Anolis sagrei: one gene and its partners. The protein of the gene in region 2 purifies or fractionates together with the protein of the main gene of each other region. This does not show direct contact. Links are inferred from orthologs where the notes say so. Each region holds a gene or a part of one and is shown on either strand. Other genes may lie near its edges.

Region 1 (7,918 bases), on a different chromosome or scaffold from region 2:
GTCATGCAGTATATTTCTGTGGCTGAGCACAGATTCTTAGTTTCCTTGACTCGTCATCCAATGTTCAAACCATTACATACTGTACCTATCTTTCCACATACTAAGTACACCCACTCATTTCTCTTAAGATTAATGGCAATCTTGTGATTCTACAGAAGTTGGTGGGTCCAAATTTCTAGCATTCCTTACCATTTTCTATGCTGACTAAAATTATTGGGAGTCGCAATCCAAAAACACCTGAAAGCCCGTGTGATTCCTGTACCTATCCTAAGATGAGCAAGCAATAGGTTACACCAGAATGGCTCAAACTGTTCCTCCAGATGTTTTGGACTTCAGCTCCCACAATTCCTTACAGCTGGTAATTTGGCTGGGATTTCTGGGAGCTGAAGTCCAAAACACCTGGAGGAGCACAGTTTGAGAAACACTGGCTTAAACAATGGCTTAAGTAAGAATGCCTTGAAATAAGCCTTTAAATGGAAAGAAAACAAAACATCTGACCATTCATTTTTTAAAAATAGTCTTTATAATATAATCAGTAGAGCATCGCTAAAGCTGATGATATATTTTTGTAAAATATCTATGAAGCATCTCAGGAGAACCATATATAAATTTTCTAAGTCAATAACAGCAAATGTTGATAGCATCATACTGGTATTATGGAGGATTTAAATTAACAGCATCTGTTATGGGAAAGTCCAGGATAACTAAAATGAACCTGCAACTCAGATAAATGTTTATATAATGCAAGGAGTGCCAATTTATAGTCTCCCATTGATTTTAAAAATGCATATTAAAAATTTAGAAAATTCTGATGGGCACCTACAGGCAGAGCACATGCCAGCTAAAATAAATTCCAGCTCTCCTCAAGGGTGTCAGAACAGTGATATGTAATTATCACCAATCATTTACATTAACTCAGGCAGTTTTAAAGTGTGGAGAGGTGGAAAGGGGAGGAAGGTCGCTGTTCTAGATTTGAAATCTTTTTCTTTAGATATTTTAAGGAGTGATTCTGCCTATGTACATCGGCCCACATACTAAGATCTGCAGTACACTGTGTGGAGACATGAAGCAGAGTGCATGGGCTACGTGATGCCTCTCCCTGGAGACAAAATTAGCTTCAACATTGACATGTTTTCAGTGCCAAGTTTATTTGTTGTTTCAGAAGCGAACCGAGGGTACAGTTGTAATGTATTTTTAAAAAACTTGGCATTATACTAAATGTCCTTTGACCAGTAGCTGGCCACTTGGGAGTGCTTCTGGTGTCGCTATAAGAAGGTCCTCCATTGCGCATGTGGCAGGGCTCAGGCTGCATTGTACTAGGTGGTCTGTGGTTTGCTCTTCTCTTCTCTCGACACATGCATGTCGTGGACTTCATTTCTTAAGATTGCCTCTGCATCTTGTGGTGCCAGAGTGCAGCCTATTCTGTGCCTTCCAAGTCACCCAGTCTTCTGTGTGCCCAGGGGTGAGTCTCTCATTCAGTATCAGCCATTGCTTGAGGTTCTGGGCTTTACCCTGCCACTTTTGGACTCTCACTTGCTGAGGTGTTCCTGCAAGTATCTCTATAGATCTTAAGAGAGCTATTTCTTGATTTAAGGCATTGGCGTGCTGGCTGATATCCGAACAGAGGATGGGCTGGAGATGTCACTGCCTCATTCCTTTCATTATTGGCTGCTACTTCCCAGTGGATGTCAAGTGGTGCAATACTGGCTAAACAGTATAATTTCTCCAGTAGTGTAGGGCATAGACATCCTGTGATAATGCAGTATGTCTTATTAAGAGCCACATCAACTGTTTTAGTGTGGTGAGACATGTTCCACACTGGGCATGCGTACTCAATAGCAGCATAGCAAAGCGCAAGGGCAAATGTCTTCACTGTATCTGGTTGTGATCCCCAGGTTGTGCCAGTCAGCTGTTGTACGATATTGTTTCTGGCACCCACTTCTTGCTTGATATACAAGCAGTGTTTCTTGTAAGTCAGAGCACAGTCCAGGGTAGTAATAATAATAATAATAATAATAATACTCATCATCATCATCATCTTTATTTATACCCTGCCACCATCTCCCCAAAGGGGACTCGAGGTAGCTAACATGAGGCCAAGCCCTGAATTACAGGACAACAAAATAAAATAAAATACAAACAGCAAATAATAACATCAAAATAAAATACATCCAATAACAGAAAATGAAATAAACAGATGCAAACTAACATGATGAAGAAGAAGAAAATAAAAGCAAGGTAGGCGGGCCAAATGCACAGAATAAAATTGATAAAACCCTGGGTGAGATAAGTAAATGGAGAAGTATGAGTCTGTGGGGCAACTCAGAAGGGCTGAACAATGGGATTGAGCCTACATTAAAGACAACAAAAAGTGCATCATGAGGACAGAACTATATTTGGTACGGACATGATATAGGGATGTGTTCACTTGCCAAAGGCATGCCAGAAGAGCCAGATTTTTAGGACTTTCTTAAAGGCTGTCAGGGCGGGGGCTTGCCTAATCTCACTAGGTAGCGAGTTCCAAAGCTGAGGGGCCACAACGGAAAAGGCTCCCTCCCTCATCCCCACAAGTCGCACTTGAGATGTAGGTGGGAGCAAGAGGAGTGTCTCCCCCTAGGATCGAAGAGATCATGCAGGATTATAAAAGGAAATGCAGTCACGAAGGTAGGCGGGTCATGCCTACCTGCGTGACCGTATTTCTGTGTACGAAGGAAATGCAGTCACGCCTACCTGCGTGACCGCATTTCTGTGTACGAACCCACACGATCTCTTCGTTCATCTGGAGAGGCCCTGCTTGCGTCCCCAACTCCTTCGCAGGTGCGATTGGTGGGGACGAGGGAGAGGGCCTTCTTGGTGGTGACCTCCTGACTCTGGAACTCACTTCCCAAGGACATCAGACATGCCCCAACTCTGGCAGTCTTTAGGAGGAGCCTGAAAACGTGGTTGTTCCAGTGTGCCTTCCCAGAATAAGGAAAACCCTCAGCAATATGCCCTCAAAATGCACTTTACCATTGATTTGGGATTGATTGCGTTCCTTCATCTCTCCTTGAAAATTCTGCCCTAGTTCTATCCTACCTTGTCCATGTCCAGCATTATTCTTAATTTTAATCTATTGCATTTGGCCCGGCCATTGGTTTTAAATGCTTGTGTGTTACTGTTGATGTATTGTTTATTTTTTGTTATGTGATTTTTATTAATTGTATTGCTTTGTTTGTTTTGTTATTGCTTTTGTTTATTGATGTACTGTACGTTTGGCCTCATGTAAGCCGCACCGAGTCCCCTGGGGAGATGGTAAAAGGTAAAGGTAAAGGTAGTCCCCTGACATTAAGTCCAGTCATGTCTGACTCTGGGGTGTGGTGCTCATCTCTATTTCTAAGCCGAAGAGCCAGCCTTGTCCGTAGACACCTCCAAGGTCATGTGGCCGGCATGACTGCATGGAGCGCCGTTACCTTCCCGCCGGAGCGGTACCTATTGATCTACTCACATTTGCATGTTTTCGAACTGCTAGGTTGGCAGAAGCTAGGGATGACAGCGGAAGCTCACGCCGCTCCCCGGAATCGAACCTGTGACCTTTCGATCAACAAGCTCAGCAGCTCAGTCCTTTAACCCACTGCGCCACCGGGGGGAGATGGTAGCGGGGTACAAATAAAGTTTTTATTATTATTACTAGCTGTCCCCTGCCACACGTTGCTGTGGTCCACATGGCTGTTCTGTGTGGGAGGTTTGCCCCAATTCTATTGTTGGTGGGTGATTGTAGGTGAACTATAAATCCCAGCAACTACAACTCCCAAATGCCAAGGTCCATTTCCCCCAAACTCCACCAGTTTTCACATATTGGCATATTGTGTATTTGTGCCAAATTTGGTCCAGATCCATCATTGTTTGAGCCCACAGTGATCTATGGATGTAGGTGAACTACAACTCCAAAACCAAAGGTCAATGTCCACCAAACCCTTCCAGTATTTTCTGTTGGTCATGGGAGAACTGTGTGTCAAGCTTGGTTCAATTCCATCATTGGTGGGGTTCAGAATTCTCTTTGATTGTAGGTGAACTATAAATCCCAGCAACAACTCCCAAATGACAAAATCAATTTTTTGAGTGAAGGACATACATTCGGTTGTTAGGTGCCTTGTGTCCAAATTTAGTGTCAATTCATCCAGTGGTTTTTGAGTTATGTTAATCCCACAAACGAACATTGCATTTTTATTTATATAGATGATGATGATGATTATAAGTGTCTTGTGGCTAAATTTGGCAGCATTTCATCCAGTGGTTTTTGAGTTATTTTAATCCCACAAACGAACTTTACATTTTTATTTGTATAGATTATATAGAAGATACGTTATTAGTTCATCGTCTTTTGCAACTCCCTCTGGGAATCTCTAGAGCAGGCCTGGGCCAGCTTGGGCCCTCCAGGTGTTTGGGACTTCAACTCCCACAATTCCTAACAGCCTGAGGGGGGGGGGGGGAGGAAAGGTCCTGAGGCTGTTAGGAATTGTGGGAGTTGAAGTCCCAAACACCTGGAGGGCCCAAGCTGGCCCAGGCCTGCTCTAGATCCTCCAGGATGACACTGTAGCCAACTTCAGCTAGTTTGGAAGATGACCGTAGAATCGTTCAGCTTTAAAAAACCACTGCTTACTTTAGATATGGGAATATCCACACTGGTATCAATTTTAGTTCCATTTCCCAGAAGCCCTGGCTATAGACCAGATCCGCCGAGCCTTCTGGGAGTTGAAGTCCAAAGGTACTCTCGTTCAGGCACCCGTGACGTATAACAAGACACGCCCTCTGCTGGGGGCCGCCATCTCCTGGGTGACGCCGACGCTTGGAGAGGGGAGGGGCCAGCCGAGGCGGGTGATTGCGCAGGCGCAGTCGCTCTGTTTTTTTCCCTCTCTCTCCTTAAACACCGTCGGAGTGAAGGCGAGAAGATGCAGGTCGGTCAGGGCTGGGAGGGGTGGGAGGGCGGTTGGGCTTTTCTAGGCCAAGTCACAGTATAGTGTGCAGCAGGCCTGGGCAAACTTGGGCCCTCTCTTCAGGTGTTTTGGACTTCAACTCCCACCATTCCTAACCCCCTCAGCTAAGCGGCTGTGTGGGGAAAGGAAGAGGCCTGAGGCTGATAGGAATTGTGGGAGTTGAAGTCCAAAACACCTCAAGAGAGGGCCCAAGTTTGCTCATGTCTGATCTAGAGATTCTCAGGAATACAGACCAGATTGTAATTGCAAAATATATGATAGCAGCGACCCAAGCAACAGTTGCCTTAGGATGGAAAGATGAAGGGAAATGGGGATTTTAGAAATGGCTCAAATATTGATCAGAGTATATGTTCCAAGACTGCATATCATATATATATGAATCATAGAATCATAGAGTTGGAAGAGACCTCATGGGCCATCCAGTCCAACCCCCTGCCAAGAAGCAGGAATATTGCATTCAAATCACCCCAGACAGATGGCCATCCAGCCTCTGCTTAAAAGCCTCCAGAGAAGGAGACTCCACCACACTCCGGGGCAGAGAGTTCCACTGCTGAACGGCTCTCACAGTCAGGAAGTTCTTCCTCATGTTCAGATGGAATCTCCTCTCTTGTAGTTTGAAGCCATTTGAATGGCCATCCAAAGGAGAACTGGCAGTTAAAGTGGAAAAGGATTGTAGTCAGAATGAAAGGGAAACTATAAGGATCTGAACCAAAACATCATCATGATTGAAAAAATAATATAAAGTTTAAACCAGCGGTCCTCAAACTAAGGCCCAAGGGCCAGATACAGCCCTCCATGGTCATTTACCCAGCCCTCGCTCAGGGTCAACCTAAGTCTGAAACAACTTGAAAGCACACAACAACAACAACAACAATGCTATCTCATCAGCCAAAAGCAGGCCCACACTTCCCATTGAAATACTAATAATAGAGCCCCCAGTGGAGCAGTGGGTTAAACCCCTGTGCCGGCAGGACTGAAGGGTCGCAGGTTCGAATCCGGGGAGAGGCGAATGAGCTCCCTCTGTCAGCTCCAGCTCCCAAAGCGGGGACATGAGAGAAGCCTCCCACAAGGATGATAAAAACATCAAATCATCATGGCGTCCCTTGGGCAACGTCCTTGCAGACTGCCAATTCTCTCACACCAGAAGCGACTTGCAGTTTCTCAATAATAATAATAATAATAAACTTTATTTGTACCCTGCTACCATCTCCCCAAGGGACTCGGTGCGGCTTACATGAGGCCAAGCCCACAATACAACAATAAACAATAACAACAGTAATACAAATCACTCCTGACACACAAAAACTAATAAGTTTATATTTGTTAAAATTGTTCTTCATTTTAATTATTGTATTGCATTTAAGCGTTTTTTGCACTACAAATAAAATATGTGTAGTGTGCATAGGAATTCATTCATTTTTTTTCCAAATTATAATCTGGCCCTCCAGCAGTTTGAGGAACTGTGACTTGGCCATCTGTTTAAAAAGATTGTGGACCCCTGGTTTAAACCAATGAGTAGAGTTATATCTGTCCCCATAGGGAGGTGAGTAGGAGGAAAGGGGAGGGAGAAAATGGATATGTATAAATAATAGCTACTGAGCTACTGAACTTGCTGACTGAAAGGTTGGCGGTTCAAATCAGGGAGTGGAGTTGTTAGCCCCTGTTTCTCCCAACCTAGCAGTTCAAAAAGATGCAAATGTGAATAGATCAATAGGTACCGCTCCGGTGGGAAGGTAATGGCACTCCATGCTGGCCACATGACCTTGGAGGTGTCTATGGACAAAGCCGGCTCTTTGGCTTAGAAATGGAGATGAGCACCACCCCTCAGAGACAGACTCAACTGGACTTAACGTAAAGGGGAACCCTTTACCTTTATCTATAAGTGATAGATGTATTGAACTGTAAAAGATAAAATGTAATCAACAGAATGTGTTATATGTGGTAAAAATAATAATATATTGTGTATATGCGGTTGTGACAATGTTACAAATTACTTACATTTAACCAATAAATAATAATAATAATAGTGAACAAAGTTTTCCCCTTAGCTATTTCTCTAAACATCACTTGTTGAATTTTTGTTTATTACCACAACTAGGGATTCAGATTTCTATTTCCCAGGGATGTCAATCTCCCTGATTGTTTTAGAGCAAACAAAAATTCAACAAGTGATGCTCAGGGAAATTGCTAAGGAGAAACTTGTGTGTATTGGATTGTGCTCAGTGGTTTCCATGGCAGTGAGTGGTGAATCCAATCTAAGTTTTAAACTAGGCTTTAAAAGAAGCTCTTCAGGATGCAAAATAGGTCCGGATCTTTTGGATTTGAGGTTATCCAAAATGTGGGGTGGGTTCTCTTCCCTGGGTTCACAGGATGCTATGTTACAAAGAAATCTGTTCCTGGTTTGAAAATGTTATTTCCTGTTTAATTGTGCGGTACTTCCTTTGAAAGTAGTTGTTATACTCCAGAAACTTCATTTTTGTGGCTGCCACAAATATGTTGAATTGTTGTGACTCTGAGATATTGAAAAACTATAGCAAAATGTGTTGCAGCACATTTTCCCCATGTTTTATGACAGAACCAATTAGGAAATAGCATTTATAACCAGGATCAAATATTGTATGTTTACAAACTTATAATTGATTTTGTTTTTCTTTTCATAGCGAGTGTTTACCCTTTCAGAAAAGGATTCACCTAGTTCCCCCATACAATTTGCTTGGCAAAAAGCTCTAGGAAACTACATTGCTGTTACAAGGTAAGATAACATATGGTCAGTGCTCCATGTTTGTGAGTTTGACTTTTGCAGATTTTATTATCTATAGAATTGACTAATGTTCTCCCTGGCATACTCAAGAGCAATTTCCTCTCAAAAGTGACCATGGAGTCCTCTGAGAAATCTAGAGATTCCTTGGGAGAATGCTCTTCTGGTAATCTCTAGGTCAGTGGTT
Region 2 (7,827 bases):
ACAATATGTTCTAGAGCAGCAGAAATAATTTGTTTTACTTACAGGATCTCAATTTCCACCTGTGTCTAAGATGTCTACCTTAGACAAAAAAAATCATTTGGTTCCCTTTACTAGAGAATTAAACCCCAGGCTGTAAGCAGTGTTGACCAATTTAAATACACCTACCTCTACAGGAGGAGAGTTGATCCTGCTACGACGATTTTCATCATGGGTGAAATCCGGATGAGCTCGTCGACCCATTTTTGCTATCTACATAAAACACAAAGAGTCCAAATGGTTCAAAAGTCCAGCGACAAAAATGTATGTTGGGATTGAGAACTTTTGGCTTTTCAAATGTTTTGGACTGCAACCCCCAGAATCCTTTAATGTTAAAAATGTTAGTTGAGGCTTTTAAAAGTCTTAAGTCCCAAATTCTGATTGTCCAAAGTTTTCCCAGACATAATAGACAGATCAAAAGATAGACAGGTTAATCAGCAATTCCCCACTGTGTTCCACAAAAGCATGGTAGGGATTCCACAAAAAAATCTTTAAAAGCTTTTTGAAAAATCTTTTTAAGAAGAGTATGAAGATCTTATCAAAATTCAGTGTACCTCTGCTTTAAAAACAAAATTTGTATCTAATTCACTAAATATTTAGCAGACTACCGTCTCCAAAACTACATTAGCAAAAGGAAAAGTTACTACAGGATGGTCCAAATCAGAAAGTCATGGGAGGCAAAATGGAAAGGCTTAATTTACAGAATAAAGGGAAAGATAATTATAAGGAATTAAACAAGATTATCCTCATGATCAAACCATTGTAGTAAGTACAGCAAAATCTGAAAACTGTTTCTGGGAAGGAGAGGGGGGAGAAAGAGGAGAAATGATGTAAACATATGTTAACAATGGAAAATATTTTGAATTTTTGTATAATTTTGTGCAGAGCAATTCACAATAATTTTGAAAATAAATGTTTTTTAAAAGGAATTTTTTAAAAATTAAAAACCAAAATTTGAATCTGTGCCACTGAATGATTCTGGATAAGACTGATCGACGTATAGCTCTCAGTAGTCAGAAAGGCTATCAGAGCAATACTCCTTCCAGGTGCCTCTGAGGCAGGTTCTTGCCAAGAAAACCTTGTGATAAGGTCATTTTAGGGTGGCCATAAGTCAGAAATGACTTGACGGCAGACTGCAATAGACTTATTGGAAATACTTTTCCACTGAAAAAAGGAAACAGTAAGAATTTGCGTCAAAAGATTTTACAAACAATGGCAGCTACAGTGAGAACTGACTCTGCGAGCTTACAAAAGGATCTTGTAAGGCATGTGAGACTAATCTTGAGACAAAAAGGTGGTTGCTTTCGCAGATTTAAGTCTACCTCATCTGATACCTCGGTTTCTTCATTATTACACAAAAGAACAATTAACTGAAACCTATTTGGACCTGAAGGAAGTCCTTACCTAAACATAGTAGGCCTTTGTCATCAGCTGAGGTTTGGTTCTACAGTGCATTATTATTATTTATTTATTTATTTATTTACAGTATTTCTATACCGCTTTTCTCACCCCAAGGGGGACTCAAAGCGGTTTACACATAAGTAATGGCAAAATTCAATGCCAGTACAAATAATTACAATTATACACTACACTCAAACATAAATCAAATAAAAACCATAGTTCCATAAGCAATAAAACAGTCTTGTTCGTCAAATTGCTGTTGCTGTCATCGTCTTCCTGAAATGCTGCATACCTTTACTTCTACTGCCCGAAGGTCCCAAAACCATAATTTTAATTTTTTTTCTAAAAGCCAGGAGAAAGGGAGCGGATCTTACCTTATTGGATGTATTGATGTTTGTTCATTTACTGATGTATTGTTGTATTGTTTTAACTGCTTTAGTGATTGTTTAGATGCTAATGCTATGCACTTTGTATATTGTCCTGTTGTAAACCGCACTGAGTCGCCTACGGGCTGAGATAGTGCGGTATACAAATAAAGTAAATAATAAATAATAATAATTACCTCATTTGGGAGCGTGTTCCATAGGCGGGGGGCCACAGCCGAGAAGGCCCTGTCTCTTGTCCCTGCCAGGCACATCTGTGCTGTTGACGGGAGCGAGAGCAGGGCCTCCCCGGATGATCTTAGATCAGGGGTCCACAAACTTTTTAAACAGAGGGCCAGGTCATAGTCCCTCAAACTGTTGGAGGGCCGGATTATAATTTGAAAAAAACATGAATGAATTCCTATGCACACTGCACATATCTTATTTGTAATGCAAAAAACACTTAAAACAATACAATAATTAAGATGAATAACAATTTTAACAAATATAAACTTATTAGTATTTCAATGGGAAGTGTGGACCTGCTTTTGACTGATGAGATAGGATTGTTGTTGTTGTTGTGTGCTTTCAAATCATTTGAGACTTAGGTTGACCCTGAGTGAGTGCCGGGTAAATGAGCTTGGAGGGCCGTATCTGGCCCCCGGGCCTTAGTTTGAGAACCCCTGTCTTAGATTATGAGTTGGGACATAGGAGCGGATGCGTTCAGACAAATAAGCTGGGGAAGAACTGTGTAGATCAGGCCTGGGTAAACTTTGGGCCTCTAGGTGTTTTGGACTCCAACTCCCACAATTCCCAACTGCCTCAGGCCCCATCCTTTTCCCTCTCAGCTGCTTGGCCCAAGTTTAAGTAGCTGAGGGGGAAAAGGAAAGTGTCTGAGGCTGCTGGGAATTGTGGGAGTTGGAGTCCAAAACACCTGGAAGGCCCAAGTTTGACCAGGCCTGGTGTAGCTACACCCTAGGTGACTTTGAGCAAAGTCACACTCTCTCAGCCTCTGAAGAAGGCCATTAACCAATCTTGCCAAGAAAGCCGTGACAGAGTCGTGTTAGGCCGGATTTGAAGGCAAACAACAACAACAACAACAACAACAACAACAAGGTAAAAGTAACAAGGAGCACACCGCGGAGTCCTGGCTCTTTTCCTCTCCCTTCCCCCAGAGAGACTCGGCCTGAGGAGAGAGGCACGGCTGGCTGTCGAGCTCCGCAGGCCGAGGCCGACTGGGCCGCGCCATTTTGCGCAGAGAGAGCGGGAGGGAAAACCTGGGCGAGGAGGAAGCGCCCCCTCCCACCGCCGTCGCCATGGCAACCCCAGGCTGGCCTTACCCCCTTGCAGACTTCTTCGTCCAAATCCAAGTCGTCCTCCATGGTGCAAGCCCCCTGTCGCGCGCGCAGGGAAAGGGAGAGCCGCCTGCTTCCTAGAGGAAGCCCCGCCCCTTTCAGCGTCCTTAGCAACCGCAGGCTGCCCTTAAAGCCGGTCTCGTCTCCCAGGTGTTTTGGACTTCTGCTCCCAGAATCCCTGCTCATTAGCCAAGGCAGCTAAGGCTTCTGGGAGTTGAAGTCCAGCTGCCCAAGAGGACTAGAGTTTGGGCGGGACTGTCTTAAAGGAGCCGCAACCCCAGTAACAAGTTCACTTGGACTTGTCAAACAAACTTCTTCATAGCTACCCTCTTTTCATTATTTTTTTGCCTGCAATCCCCATTCTGATTAATGACTTAACCAAAGGATGGGGGGAAATCTTGAATTATTTCAATATCTCCATTGTCTACAGCAGGCATGGGCAAACTTAGGCCCTCCAAGTGTTTTGGACTTTTTTTTGTCATGTCAGGAGCGTCGTTTCTGTTGTGAGAGAATTAGCCGTCTGCAAGGACATTGTCCAGGGGACGCCCGGATGATTTGATGTTTTATCATCCTTGTGGGAGGCTTCTCTCATGTCCCCTCATGAGGAGCTGGAGCTGATAGAGGGAGCTCATCCGCCTCTTCCCCGGATTCGAACCTGCGACCTGTCGGTCTTCAGTCCTGCCGGCACAGGGGTTTAACCCTGTTTGCCCATGCCTGGTCTTTAAGACTTACAAGAAGCACTTCTTCACTATCAAGCAAAAAGTGGGTGCTAGAAACAATATCATCCTCATATCATGTGGTGAAACATCAGGAGAGAATGCTTCTGAAACATGGCCATGCAACCCAGAAAACTCAGAGCAACCCAATATCATACAAAAGCTGACTGGCACAACCTGGGGATCACAACCAGATACAGCCCTTGCACTTTGCTACTCTGCTGCTGAGTATGCACACTAGTATGGAATACATCTCAGCACATTAAAACAGTGGATGTGACTATTAATGAGACATGTCACATTAATGAGACATGTTTACGCTGGAGAAATTATACTGTTAGCCGGTATAGCACCACCTGATATTCGCTGGAAAGTAGCAGCCAGCAATTAAAGGACCAAGGCATTGACATCTCCGGCCCATCCTCTGTTTGGATATCAGCCAGTACACCAACACCTTCAATCAAGAAATAGCTTTTTAAGATCTACAGGGATACTCGTAGGAACACTGGCTATAGATAAGGGCAAAATCAGAATGGTTGAAGCATTGGTGCATTGCACGTTGTCCAAAACACCATATTAAGGTAGAGATGGATCAAACAAACTTCCAGTTTATGCTAAACAATTTAATTAAAACAACACTTACTTTCTGGCTGTTATAATAGTCCAAAATATAAAACATAAACATAGCAGTCAGCCACAGAATATAAAACAAAAACTGACAGCAAACACTGTTGCATGTTCAAGATAACACCGTAGTCAAAAGGTCCAGTTCAGTGGTCAAATGCCGAGAGTTCAATGAGGAAGTCCAGGAATCAAGAGTCTAGTCAGAAGCCAGTCCAGAGATTCAAGATTCCAGGGTTACAAGAGTACTGAAGACAAGTAAGGATACCAAAAATCCACAAACCTGGGGGAAAACCAGCAGCATCTACCAGCAAAATAAGACAATTACTTTTCTCCCGAAGATTAGTTCCAAGTCTAGTTCATTATATCCAGAAACACTATCTCTTGCATGCCTCCATCCTTAATTGCTTTCACCCATGAACTCTTACTTACAGATTACTCAACCCTTTAGAACTAAGGGTTGAATTAATCCTTTCATCACCAACTGCTAGGCCTACCACCACCAACTGCAGAACACATGTGAGCATAGAAAGACAAAATTCAACTATGTGGTGTTATGAAAAATAAACCACATGTAGTTCATCTTTAACCAGCCCACATACTGCCTTGCCAGGGAAAGAAAATATGCCATGCAGGTGAACAGTTAAGAACAAGTAGTTTACTCTTCTTAATTTAGAACAACATCTGTACAATATGATCAGCTGTATCAACTTACTAAATGTCTTTTATGTTGGAGGAAAGTTCTGAGAGTGCCTTGGACTGCGAGAAGATCCAACCGGTCCATCCTCCAGGAAATAATGCCCAATTGTTCATTGGAGGGAAGGATACTAGAGACAAAGTTGAAGTACTTTGGCCACATCATTAGGAGACAGCAAAGCCTGGAGAAGACAATTATGCTGGGGAAGATGGAAGGCAAAAGGAAGAGGGGCCAACCAAGGGCAAGATGGATGGATGGCACCCTTGAAGTGACTGGACTGACCTTGAAGGAGCTGGGGGTGGTGACGGCCGACAGGGAGCTCTGGCGTGGGCTGGTCCGTGAGGTCACAAAGAGTCGGAGACGACTGAACAAATGAACAACAACATGAGAGATTTAAAATGGTCCTTTCTGTGTCCATGTGAGCAACCTTCTTTTAGCAGCCAAGAAGCAAATCAGTCTCTCTCTCTCTCTCTCTCTCTCTCTCTGCTTCTCTCTTCTTCTCTCTCTGCCCCTGCATAGCCTAAGCCTGAACAAAAATGTAACAGTATTCAAAAGTCTCAAGTTCAGCCATCTCCCTAGGCATTGCCTGATCAATCAGCTTAATGCATCTTATTTTACAGTGGATACACACTGCACTCACTGATTCCTTGCATGATCCAACAACTCCTCCCTAACTCAAGTAAAGTTGTGAGTAGTTGTGCCTTTATATCGCCTATTAACTATTTTACAGGGAATGCTCAGAGGTGGGGTTGCCAATTCCTAGAGATATGTTTTTTTGGGTTTTAAAAAGGGCACAAATTTATTTATTTATGCTTTTTCACTTTCCTGAGAGTCCTGTATCCCTAACTCCAACAATTATAGACTGTAATATGATTTTAGATTTTTATTCCTGTGGGGTATTTATCCTTAAACTGAATTCTTACACATGCAGGTATTTAAAGCTAAGTCTCCCTGAGGGATAAATGGGGGCCACAAGTACATATGATGTTTTTAATATGCATCTTTCCATCCTAACAGGCCTTGAAACGAAACCTCACCACAGTATCCTATTTCTGTAATAAATAGAGAGATTTCTCATATCCTGGAAAGGTCACATTAGGTAAGACTTATGCTTTTAAGTTTCAAGATGCAGTTTAACAGCTGGAAATAACTGGGAGGAGGACAGAAGGCCAAAACACCCAACCCACTCTTTTTTTGGGCTCTGGGGCAAGCTTTCTTGGAAACCACTCCTATATATAAACAGGGGCTCCTCCTGGGAGATGTGTTTTCTTTTTAAGAAGCGCACATCTCCCGCCAGAGAGCGCTGTTGACTTCCCTCAGCAAGACTTTCTCAAACCCAACATTTGGGGACTTTGCCTAATAAAATAAATGAAGCGCAGCCTGCCTTGATCACTGGGCAAGAGACGCCACAAGCCTCAGCAGCTGCCTGTTTCTGTCCACAGTCAAAGGCTGCCCAGTCATGCCCAACGTTTTATGGAGGCAACACGCTTTTAAGGCCCTTTCACTTGAGAAAGAGGCCAAGAAGTTCAAAGAAAGGGCCTTTCACACATAGGCAAACCCACTCTCTCCCATACAATTACAGAGTTATTTTGTTTCTGCTCTCTATGAATGGAAGCACCCAGCAGTCCTATCATAGGGCACATATATAGTAATAAGATTCCACTATGCACATATCTTATTTGTAGTACAAATAGACATGAAATAATACAATATTTAAAATGAAGAATCATTTTAACCAACATAAACTTAACTTACCAGTATTGAATTGGGAAATGTGGACCTGCTTTTGGCTGATGAGATAGTCAAGCTAATTAAGATTGTTTTTGTTGTTGTTGTTGTTGTTGTTGTTTGCTTTCAAGTTGTTTCAGACTCAGAGTGACCCTAAGTCTAAAGTTTAGGGCAGGGGTGGGTAAATGACTTTGGAGGACTGTATCCAACCTGTGAACCTTAGTTTGGGGACTCCTGATGTAGAGGAACTACACTATGACTGTTTGAAACTGCATTATATAGTCAGTGTAGGCACATATAATGAAGTTTGGGGTGCACTGAACTGCATATGGGTCTACACTGACCATATAAATGCAGTTCCAAACAGCATCACATAGTAGTGTAGATCAAGTCTGAAAAGGCTTCAGATTTGGGATATTATTAAAACAAGACGAGAGCCAGTATACCGTAGTGATTTCAGTGTTGCACTAGGACTTTAGGATTTACGGGTTCAAATCCGTAATCGGCCATAGGAACCAGTTTTCCAAAGATCAATGCAATGGAATCAAGGGAGTTCTAGTTTTACAAGGCCTTTATTCTTCTCTGCTGGTGCCTTGCCAAACTGCAACCCTAGGATTCCATAGAACTGAGCCATGGCTATTAAAGGGCTGTCACATTATGTTCATTCTACAGTGTAGATGTGCTCTACAGTGTAGATGCATCCTACTTTACTTTCTAGTAAAGCTAAGCAACACATCGGTATAGTTTAGATCACTGGCAGTTCAGACCACTTGATGCGTTTGAACTGGCTTGGCAGGCACTGTTAACAATTATTTAAACCACTACTTGCATAATTGGCATCAGTTTTTTTGCTCAAAGAGAGGTGGGGATGGGAGTCTCCAAAAGTGCAGACATTCCTCCTCAGTGCATTT
Region 3 (8,085 bases), on a different chromosome or scaffold from region 2:
ACGAATCAAGGAACATGAAAGGCAAGGCAGGTTACTTCAACCAGAGAAGTCAGCCATAGCAGAGCACCTGATGAACCAATCTGGACACAGCATTTTATTTGAGAACACAGAAATGCTGGACCACTCTCACAACCACCATGTTAGACTACACAGAGAAGCCACTGAAATCCACAAGCATGTGGACAATTTCAACAGAAAGGAAGAAACCATGGAAATGAACAAAGTCAGTTAGAGCAGGAGTAGAGTCCGTATGCTGCAGTGAGATGTCAGTTAATATATGAGTCTGTTTGCAGCAGATGTATAGTACAGTGAGTTGAAGTATAGTACAGTGTAGTACAGTTTTAAGTTTAATTCAGTTGACATCTGTTTCAATAAGCAATGTACCTTCTTGCTAAATACACAAAGCTTGTAAGTATATCAACGATGTTAACTTTTAACGAAGACTACTTATTTTTTTGGTCTCTTAAGAACATGATTTTAAAACAATATATTTTATGGGAGAGTAGATTATATATTTTTGTGCAACAGAAATAACACTTCTGAAGATCTGCTACATATTTTATGCATTGGCATTTCTTTGTTCCTAGCGGTTCAAAGAGATAGCCAAGTATATCAGTCTAACAGCTGAGAAGCCTAAACTGCCTTGTATAAATACTAGTAATTTACCACTAAGGTAGTGGTTCTCAACCTGTGGGTCCCCAGGTGTTTTGGCCTGCCAGAAATCCCAGCCAGTTTACCCAACTGTTAGGATTTCTGGGAATTGAAGGCTGAAACATCTGAGGACCCACAGGTTGAGAACCACTGCACTAAGGAGAAGATTGACTCAGGTGAGTTTGTAACTCTTCTTGGGAAGATCATACTTTACAAAATGGTTACGATCTCTATCAAGGTCATGCCTTTCCAAAAGGTTATGATTATTCCAAATAGTCTGGCTACCAGTATTGAAAAAACTCTACAATTACAACAGCAAAACAACAGAGAGGAAACAATATGGGACATGTAATCACCTCTCAACAAAAGATTGCCCCAGGCACTGCCAGGCAATCAAATGCTAATCAAGGTGGTCAGTTGAAACATTCACACCTAGCTCCAGGAAACAAGAGTCCTTTGTCCCACCCTGGTCATTCCACAGATATAAATCCTTTTCCCTAATTCCAACAGACCTCACTACCTCTGAAGATGCTTGCCATAGATGCAGGCGAAACGTCAGGAGAGAATGCCTCTAGAACATGGCCATATAGCCTGAAAAAACCTACAACAACCCAACAAAATTAGTGTTGCATAGTGTAATCTGTGTATCCCGCCCTCCCTCCACACTAAGCTCTCTCCCACCAAACCTAAAGGACTGGTCCCTTCCCCGGCCTCTTGACCCCATCCTCGCCTCTCTCACCTGTTCTTGGGGCTGGAGCGGCGGGGACTGGCTGCAAGCCCCGTTCTCCCCCGCCTTGAAGGGAGAACGTGGCGAGCCAGCCGCCAGTCCCTCAGGCGGTCGGTACCGCCGTCTTCCGCCTCTTGGGTTGTTTGAATTTGGCGCCCAACAAGGACGTTCGACGCCACGTGACGGCGCCGGGCCAATTAGAGCGCAGGGGGCGGAGCCTGTGAGGAAGGAGAGCGAACGGTAGGAGCAGCGGCCCAGGCGCATCTCTTTCGGAGGCAGACTTGCTGTGTATGTGTACACATGCGTCAGGATAGGTGTTTTGAGTTTGTATATGGGTGCCCTCACCTGCCACAGTCATTCCCCAGCTCTGGCTCTCCACGGTTTGGAAGGGACTCCAACTCCCAGAAGCCTCAGCTGCTCTGACCCAGGATAAGGGATTCTGGGAGTTGAAGTCCCAAAGGGTTTTCATCCTCCAATGTGGTTTTGCCAGTTTCTTCCTCTGAAATGCTGCCTGCAACAGCTGGCATTTGTCAGCGGCGTCCCATTCAAGAGCTGGCCCTGCTGACTTTGCAGGATCAGACGCCATCTGGGGCGTTTAGGATTTATGTTGACAGTTAACTGTCCTGCAGTTCCAGAAATAAACGGAATCACCAAAACAGAGATATTAATAATGTTGTAAAATAATATTTATACTTAATAATACAATATTTTATAATAATATAATATTTATACTTATGATATAATACAATATAATATGATCTATATAAATCAAAATATAATGTTCGTTTGTGGGATTAACTGAACTCAAAAAGCACTGGGGGAATTGACACCAAATTTGGATGCAAGACACCTAACAACCTAATGTATGTCCTTCACTCAAATTTTTTTGATTTTGTCATTTGCGAGTTGTAGTTGCTGGGATTTATAGTTCACCTACAATCAAAGAGCATTCTGAACTCCACCAACGATGGAATGGAACCAAACTTGGCACACAGAATTCCTATGACCAACAAAAAATACTGGAAGGGTTTGGTGGGCATTGTCCTTGAGTTTGGGAGTTCTAGTTCACCTACATCCAGAGAGCATTGTGGACTCAAACAATAATGGATCTGGACCAAACTCTACACGGATACTCAGTATGCCCAAATGTGAACACGGGTGGAGTTTGGAGAAAATAGAATCTTGACATTTGGGAGGTGTAGTTGCTGGGATTTATAGTTCACCTACAATCACAGAGTATTCTGAACCCCACCAACGATAGAATTGGGCCAAACCTCCCACACAGAACCCCCATGTGGGCCACAGCAACGTGTGGCAGGGGACGGCTAGTCTATATAAATAAAAAGTAATGTTCGTTTGTGGGGTTAACAGAATTCAAAAATCACTGGGGGAATTGACACCAAATTTGGACATGATACACCTAACAACCCAATGTATGTCCTTCACTCATAAAAAAACAGCAGAAGGGACTTAAAAAGCTAAATGACGAAAAGCTAAATGACAATACAGAAAAAAAGGAAGAAAGAGGAGGGAAGGGGAGAAAAGAAAGAAAGAAAGAAAGGGAGGGAAGAAGGAAAGGGAGAAGGAAGCATATAAGCAAAGAGAAAAGGAAGGAAAGAGGTAGAGAAGGAAGAAAGGGAGGAAAAGAAAAAGGGGAAAGGAAGGAAAGTTAGAGAAGAAAGGAAGGAGAGAAGGAAAGAAAGAAGGAAGGAAAGAGGGAGCGAAGGAAGGGGGGAAGATGTAGAGAAAGAGGGAGGGAAGGAAAGAGAGGAGGAAGAAAAGAGCAGAAGAGAAAGAAAAAGGGGGAAGGAAGGAAATAGATAGAGAAGGAAGGAAGAAGAGAAGGAAAGACAGGAAAGAAGGAAAGAGGGAGTGAAGGAAGGAGGGAAAAAGGGAAGGTTGGCCACAGCAATGCGTGGCAGGTACCACTAGTAATATAATATTATTTATTTACAACATTTATATGACGCCCTTCTCACCACGAAGGGAAATCAGAGCGGCTTACAAGATAGATATACATACATACATACAAACACACACATACACACACACGCTGTGCCACTAGGGGCCCCCAGTAGTATAGTACAGTATAATAATATATTTATTTATTTATTTACTAGATTTATATACCACCCCTCTCAGCCCACAGGCAACTCAGGGCGGTTTACAGTCAGTACCAATACCAAAAAGTACAATTAAAACATTAATATAAATATAAAAGAAGTAAAAACAATCAATATCAATTAAAAACATATATAATTAGAGTCTCCTTGTTCAAACAGTGTCCAGTCACGTCGTCCAGTCTTTCCATTTTTCATCTGTAGTAGTAGTAATTTTATTGATTAACCCTTAGGCCATATCACAATAAGAAACAGAACAACAAGGTCTGATAAGACCCGATCACACTCCACGTAGTAAGTTAAAATAAGACACTTATAACGATACAGTAAATAAATATGATAAGACATGATAAAACTGATAAACTGATCAAGCTGAGTATATACATCATATTTCATTATCACCCCTACAACTTACCCCAATCAGCCCTAAATATGTGGTTCTCAGACGTATTGTTTTGCTTAAGTACAGAGCTGTTTTGTATGTTATTTTTGGGTCTTGACCACACATAAAATATGTTGTTCTGATGTGAGATTCCCAATACATTGTCCATTTGACAATCTAACCATTGTCTCGAGCTGATCAAATCTGACTCGAGTGAATACCTCCCTGAGATTTTTCATCTGTAAACGCTTACTCGGCCCCTCTTCCTTTTTCCCTCCATTTCCCCCAGCATCATTTTCTTCTCTAAGCTTTCCTTTCTTCTCATGATGTGGCCAAAGTACTTAATATTTGCCTCTAATATCCTTCCCTCCAGTGAGCAGTTGGACTTTATTTCCTGGAGGATGGACTGGTTGGATCTTTTTGCAGTCCAAGGCACTCTCAGAATTTTTGCAACACTATTTTTGTTGGGTTGTTGGTTTTTTCGGGATATATGGCCATGTTCTAGAGGCATTCTCTCCTGACGTTTCACCTGCATCTATGACAAGCATCCTCAGAGGTAGTGAGGTCTGTTGGAACTAGGAAAATGGGTTTATATATCTGTGGAATGACCAGGGTGGGACAAAGAACTCTTGTCTGCTGGAACTAGGTGTGAATGTTTCAACTGACCAACTTGATTAGCATTTGATGGCTAATAAAGGTGGTCAGTTGGAATTTCAAGCATAATTGGCATTTCGGAAGATCTGTGCACGATGGGTACCCAGGATGCTGACGCTGGTTGCGGAAACAGTGTCGACTTGTTCTGTGAAGGCTTCAGAAAACTTGTTCATCGTTGGCAGAAACGTATCCAATTGTCTGGTGATTATGTGGCAAAGTGAATAGTGGTAGTTTAAGAGCACATTGTAAGGATTATTTCTGCGTTTGATTTATTAAAATATTCCCATCCAAACCCAAGTAACGAAGGTGGAGGCATTACTTTTCAATCAACCCTGGTAGAGAAAGATGTTGAAGAGCCCTGGGCCCAGGTCTGAGGAGAAGGCCGACGTCACGCTCTTTGCAAGTTGATGCGTGGCTTTGTTTTCTCCCTCACCCCGCTCTGGCTGCGCCCAATGAGGAGCAGGCGTTGTGCGCACGCGCCGCCCAGTGCCTCGCGGAGGCTCCAGGGGCGGGAAGGCGGAGGAGGGGGGCGGTCCCAACCCGGCGAGGGGGCCGCCCCCTCCCCTGGTTGCCATAGCAATGGCAGGATGGCCAGCCGGAGCGGAGTGACTTTGGCTACCATGGGAGCCAGGTGAGGCCAGGGCCCGAGGGTCCTCTTGGCGGGGCGCCCCCTTTTGGGCGAGGGGGGTGCTGGGGCCGCAGCAGAGGCTGGAGGGAAGCCCAGGAGGGCGACGCCCGGCCCGCGAGCTTGCAGGGATCCCCGCCAATCAGCAAGCGCGCGGAGGCCTCCCTGTCTCGAGCTCTGCGGCCGGAGAGAAGGCTTTTGCAGTGTATCATAGAGGCGCTGCTTCCTCTCACCCGGAAAGAAGGGAAGGGGGCGCCATGGCGGCTGCTCCTTCCCCCATCTCCTTGGTCCTTTTCATCAGTCAAGCCTATTTTTATCAGTGGAAGGGAGGCGCCTAAAGGCGAAGAGCAGGGAGGAGGGCACCCAGATCTCTGGAAGTTTTGAAGCAGAAGCTGGATGGCCATCTGTCGGGGCTGCTTTGATTGTTCTTTTCCTGCATGGCGTGGGGTGGGCTAGATGTGGTGACTTCCAGCTCTGATTCTTCCATCTCCTTCCCCCTAGCAACAATATAGTACTATAGAACACTTTTTTTTTGTTCTGTCAGGAGCGACTTGAGAAACCGCAAGTCGCTTCTGGTGTGAGAGAATTGGCCGCCTGCAAGGATGATTTGATGTTTTATCATCCTTGTGGGAGGCTTCTCTCATGTCCCCGTATGAGGAGCTGGAGCTGATAGAGGGAGCTCATCCGCCTCTCCCTGGATTCGAACCTGCGACCTGTCCGTCTTCAGTCCTGCCGGCACAGGGGTTTAACCCAATGCACCACCGGGGGCTCCTATATAACACTAATATTGTGCTATGCTAATCTATATAAATAAAAATGTAATGTTCGTTTGTGGGATTAACATAACTCAAAAGCCACTGGGGAAACTGACACCAGATTTGGACACAAGACACCTCTCAGGCCAACAAGTGACCATCACTCATAAAAACACTGAAAAACACAGCAGAAGGGACTTTAAAAAGCCAAAAAATACATTACAATGCATACGCAAAACCACATATATATACACAAACACACATATATACACACATATATGCATACACACAGAAAGAAGGCAGGAAGGAAAGAAAGAAGGAGGGAGAGAAGGAAGTAAAGAAGGGTAGAGAAGAAAGGAAGGAGGGAGAGACGAAGGAGGGAAGGAAAGAAAGAAAGGCAGAGAGGAAGGAGGGAGAGAAAGAGGGAGAGAAGGAGGGGAGAGAAGGAAGGAAAAAAGAAGAATAGAGAAGGAAGGAAAGAGAGAAGGAGGGAGAGAAAGGGAAGGAGAGAAGGAAGGAAGGAAGGAAGGAGAGAAGGAGGGAGAGAATGAAATAAAAAAGTGAAAGAGGGAAGGAAGGAGACAAGGAAGGGTGGAACCAAAGAGCTAAGGAAGCGAGAAAAGAAACAGAAGGAACAAAGAAGAAGGGAAAGAAAAAGAGGAAAGGAAGGAAAGAGGGAAGGAAGGAAGGAGAGAAAGAAAGAAGGAGAGAAAGAGGGAGGGAAGATTGGCCACAGCAACACGTGTCGGGTACAGCTAGTAATATATATTGTATATACATATAATATTGATAATAATAATATAATAATAATGATAATACAATATAATAATATTAATTCTATATTATATATTACATGTAATATTACAGTATACCAATATAGGACAATATAGTAATATATAATGATAATTTTGTGCTATGCTAATAATCTATATAAATAAAAATGTAATGTTCGTTTGTGGGATTAACATAACTCAAAAACCACTGGGCGAATTGACACCAAATTTGGACACAAGACACCTATCAGGCCAACGAATGACCATCACTCATAAAAACCCTGAAAAACACAACAGAAGGGACTATCTATATATATAAATCTGTTAGGTTGGTTCAACCGGACAGCAAAACTCCACAACCCCCCAACGAAACTGTACCAAAATTGCCATGCCCATAACACAACCCACAAGGTACAAACATATCTACTCAAAATGAAAAACAACACAACAACACACTCACAAAACGGCAAAACAACAAAACTCAAAAAACCCCAACGAAACTTAACCAAAATTGCCATGCCCATAACACAACCCACAAGGTACAAACATATCTACTCAAAATGAAAAACAACACAACAACACACTCACAAAACGGCAAAACAACAAAACTAAAAAAAACCCAATGAAACTTAACCAAAATTCCCATGCCCATAACACAACCCACAAGGTACAAACATATCTACTCAAAATGAAAAACAACACAACAACACACTCATAAAACGGCAAAACAACAAAACTCAAAAAACCCAACAAAACTTAATCAAAATTGTCATGCCCATAACACAACCCACAAGGTACAAACATATCTACTCAAAATGAAAAACAACACAACAACACACTCACAAAACGGCAAATCAACAACACTCACAAACCCCCCAACGAAACTTAACCAAAATTCCCATGCCCATAACACAACCCATAAGGTACAAACATATCTACTCAAAATGAAAAACAACACAACAACACACTCACAAAACGGCAAAACAACTGAGCATGCGCATTGGTGCCCAGCCGCAAGTTCCCTGGCGCGCGCACACAGTTCCCTCTGAGGAAGCCATGCCCACTCCAAGCCCCGCCGCGCCGCTTCCCGCACACACACCCCCTGCCGCACGCACACACACAACCCCACGCTCTATCACTCCCCCCGCCGCACACACACACGCAACCCCACGCTCCATCACTCCCCCCACCGCCACAGACACACACGCAACCCCACTCCCCCCCGCTGCCGCACACACACACGCAACCCCACGCTCCATCACTCCCCCCACCGACACACACACACGCGCAACCCCACTCCCCCCCGCTGCCGCACACACACACGCAACCCCACGCTCCATCACTCCCCCCGCTGCCGCACACACACACACAACCTCACGCTCCATCACTCGCCTGCCC

The links.
Region 1: the proteins of IFT43 (region 2) and WDR19 purify together in Homo sapiens (affinity purification with mass spectrometry; 3 studies listed by BioGRID and IntAct, counting the BioPlex papers as one, with this or other methods). This does not show direct contact. The link is inferred for Anolis sagrei from reciprocal best matches to the Homo sapiens genes IFT43 and WDR19.
Region 3: the proteins of IFT43 (region 2) and TULP3 purify together in Homo sapiens (affinity purification with mass spectrometry; 5 studies listed by BioGRID and IntAct, counting the BioPlex papers as one, with this or other methods). This does not show direct contact. The link is inferred for Anolis sagrei from reciprocal best matches to the Homo sapiens genes IFT43 and TULP3.

Annotation. Positions count from the first base shown.
Region 1 is NC_090025.1:119,211,741-119,219,658, forward strand, and holds the start of WDR19 (WD repeat-containing protein 19), read left to right. Parts: upstream 1-4,845; 5' UTR 4,846-4,928; coding exon 4,929-4,934; intron 4,935-7,633; coding exon 7,634-7,725; intron 7,726-7,918. UniProt on the Homo sapiens protein: As component of the IFT complex A (IFT-A), a complex required for retrograde ciliary transport and entry into cilia of G protein-coupled receptors (GPCRs), it is involved in cilia function and/or assembly.
Region 2 is NC_090021.1:305,623,833-305,631,659, reverse strand, and holds the start of IFT43 (intraflagellar transport protein 43 homolog), read right to left. Parts: upstream 3,071-7,827; 5' UTR 3,049-3,070; coding exon 2,938-3,048; intron 250-2,937; coding exon 166-249; intron 1-165. UniProt on the Homo sapiens protein: As a component of IFT complex A (IFT-A), a complex required for retrograde ciliary transport and entry into cilia of G protein-coupled receptors (GPCRs), it is involved in ciliogenesis.
Region 3 is NC_090025.1:104,602,574-104,610,658, reverse strand, and holds the start of TULP3 (tubby-related protein 3), read left to right. Parts: upstream 1-5,012; 5' UTR 5,013-5,121; coding exon 5,122-5,165; intron 5,166-8,085. UniProt on the Homo sapiens protein: Negative regulator of the Shh signaling transduction pathway: recruited to primary cilia via association with the IFT complex A (IFT-A) and is required for recruitment of G protein-coupled receptor GPR161 to cilia, a promoter of PKA-dependent basal repression machinery in Shh signaling.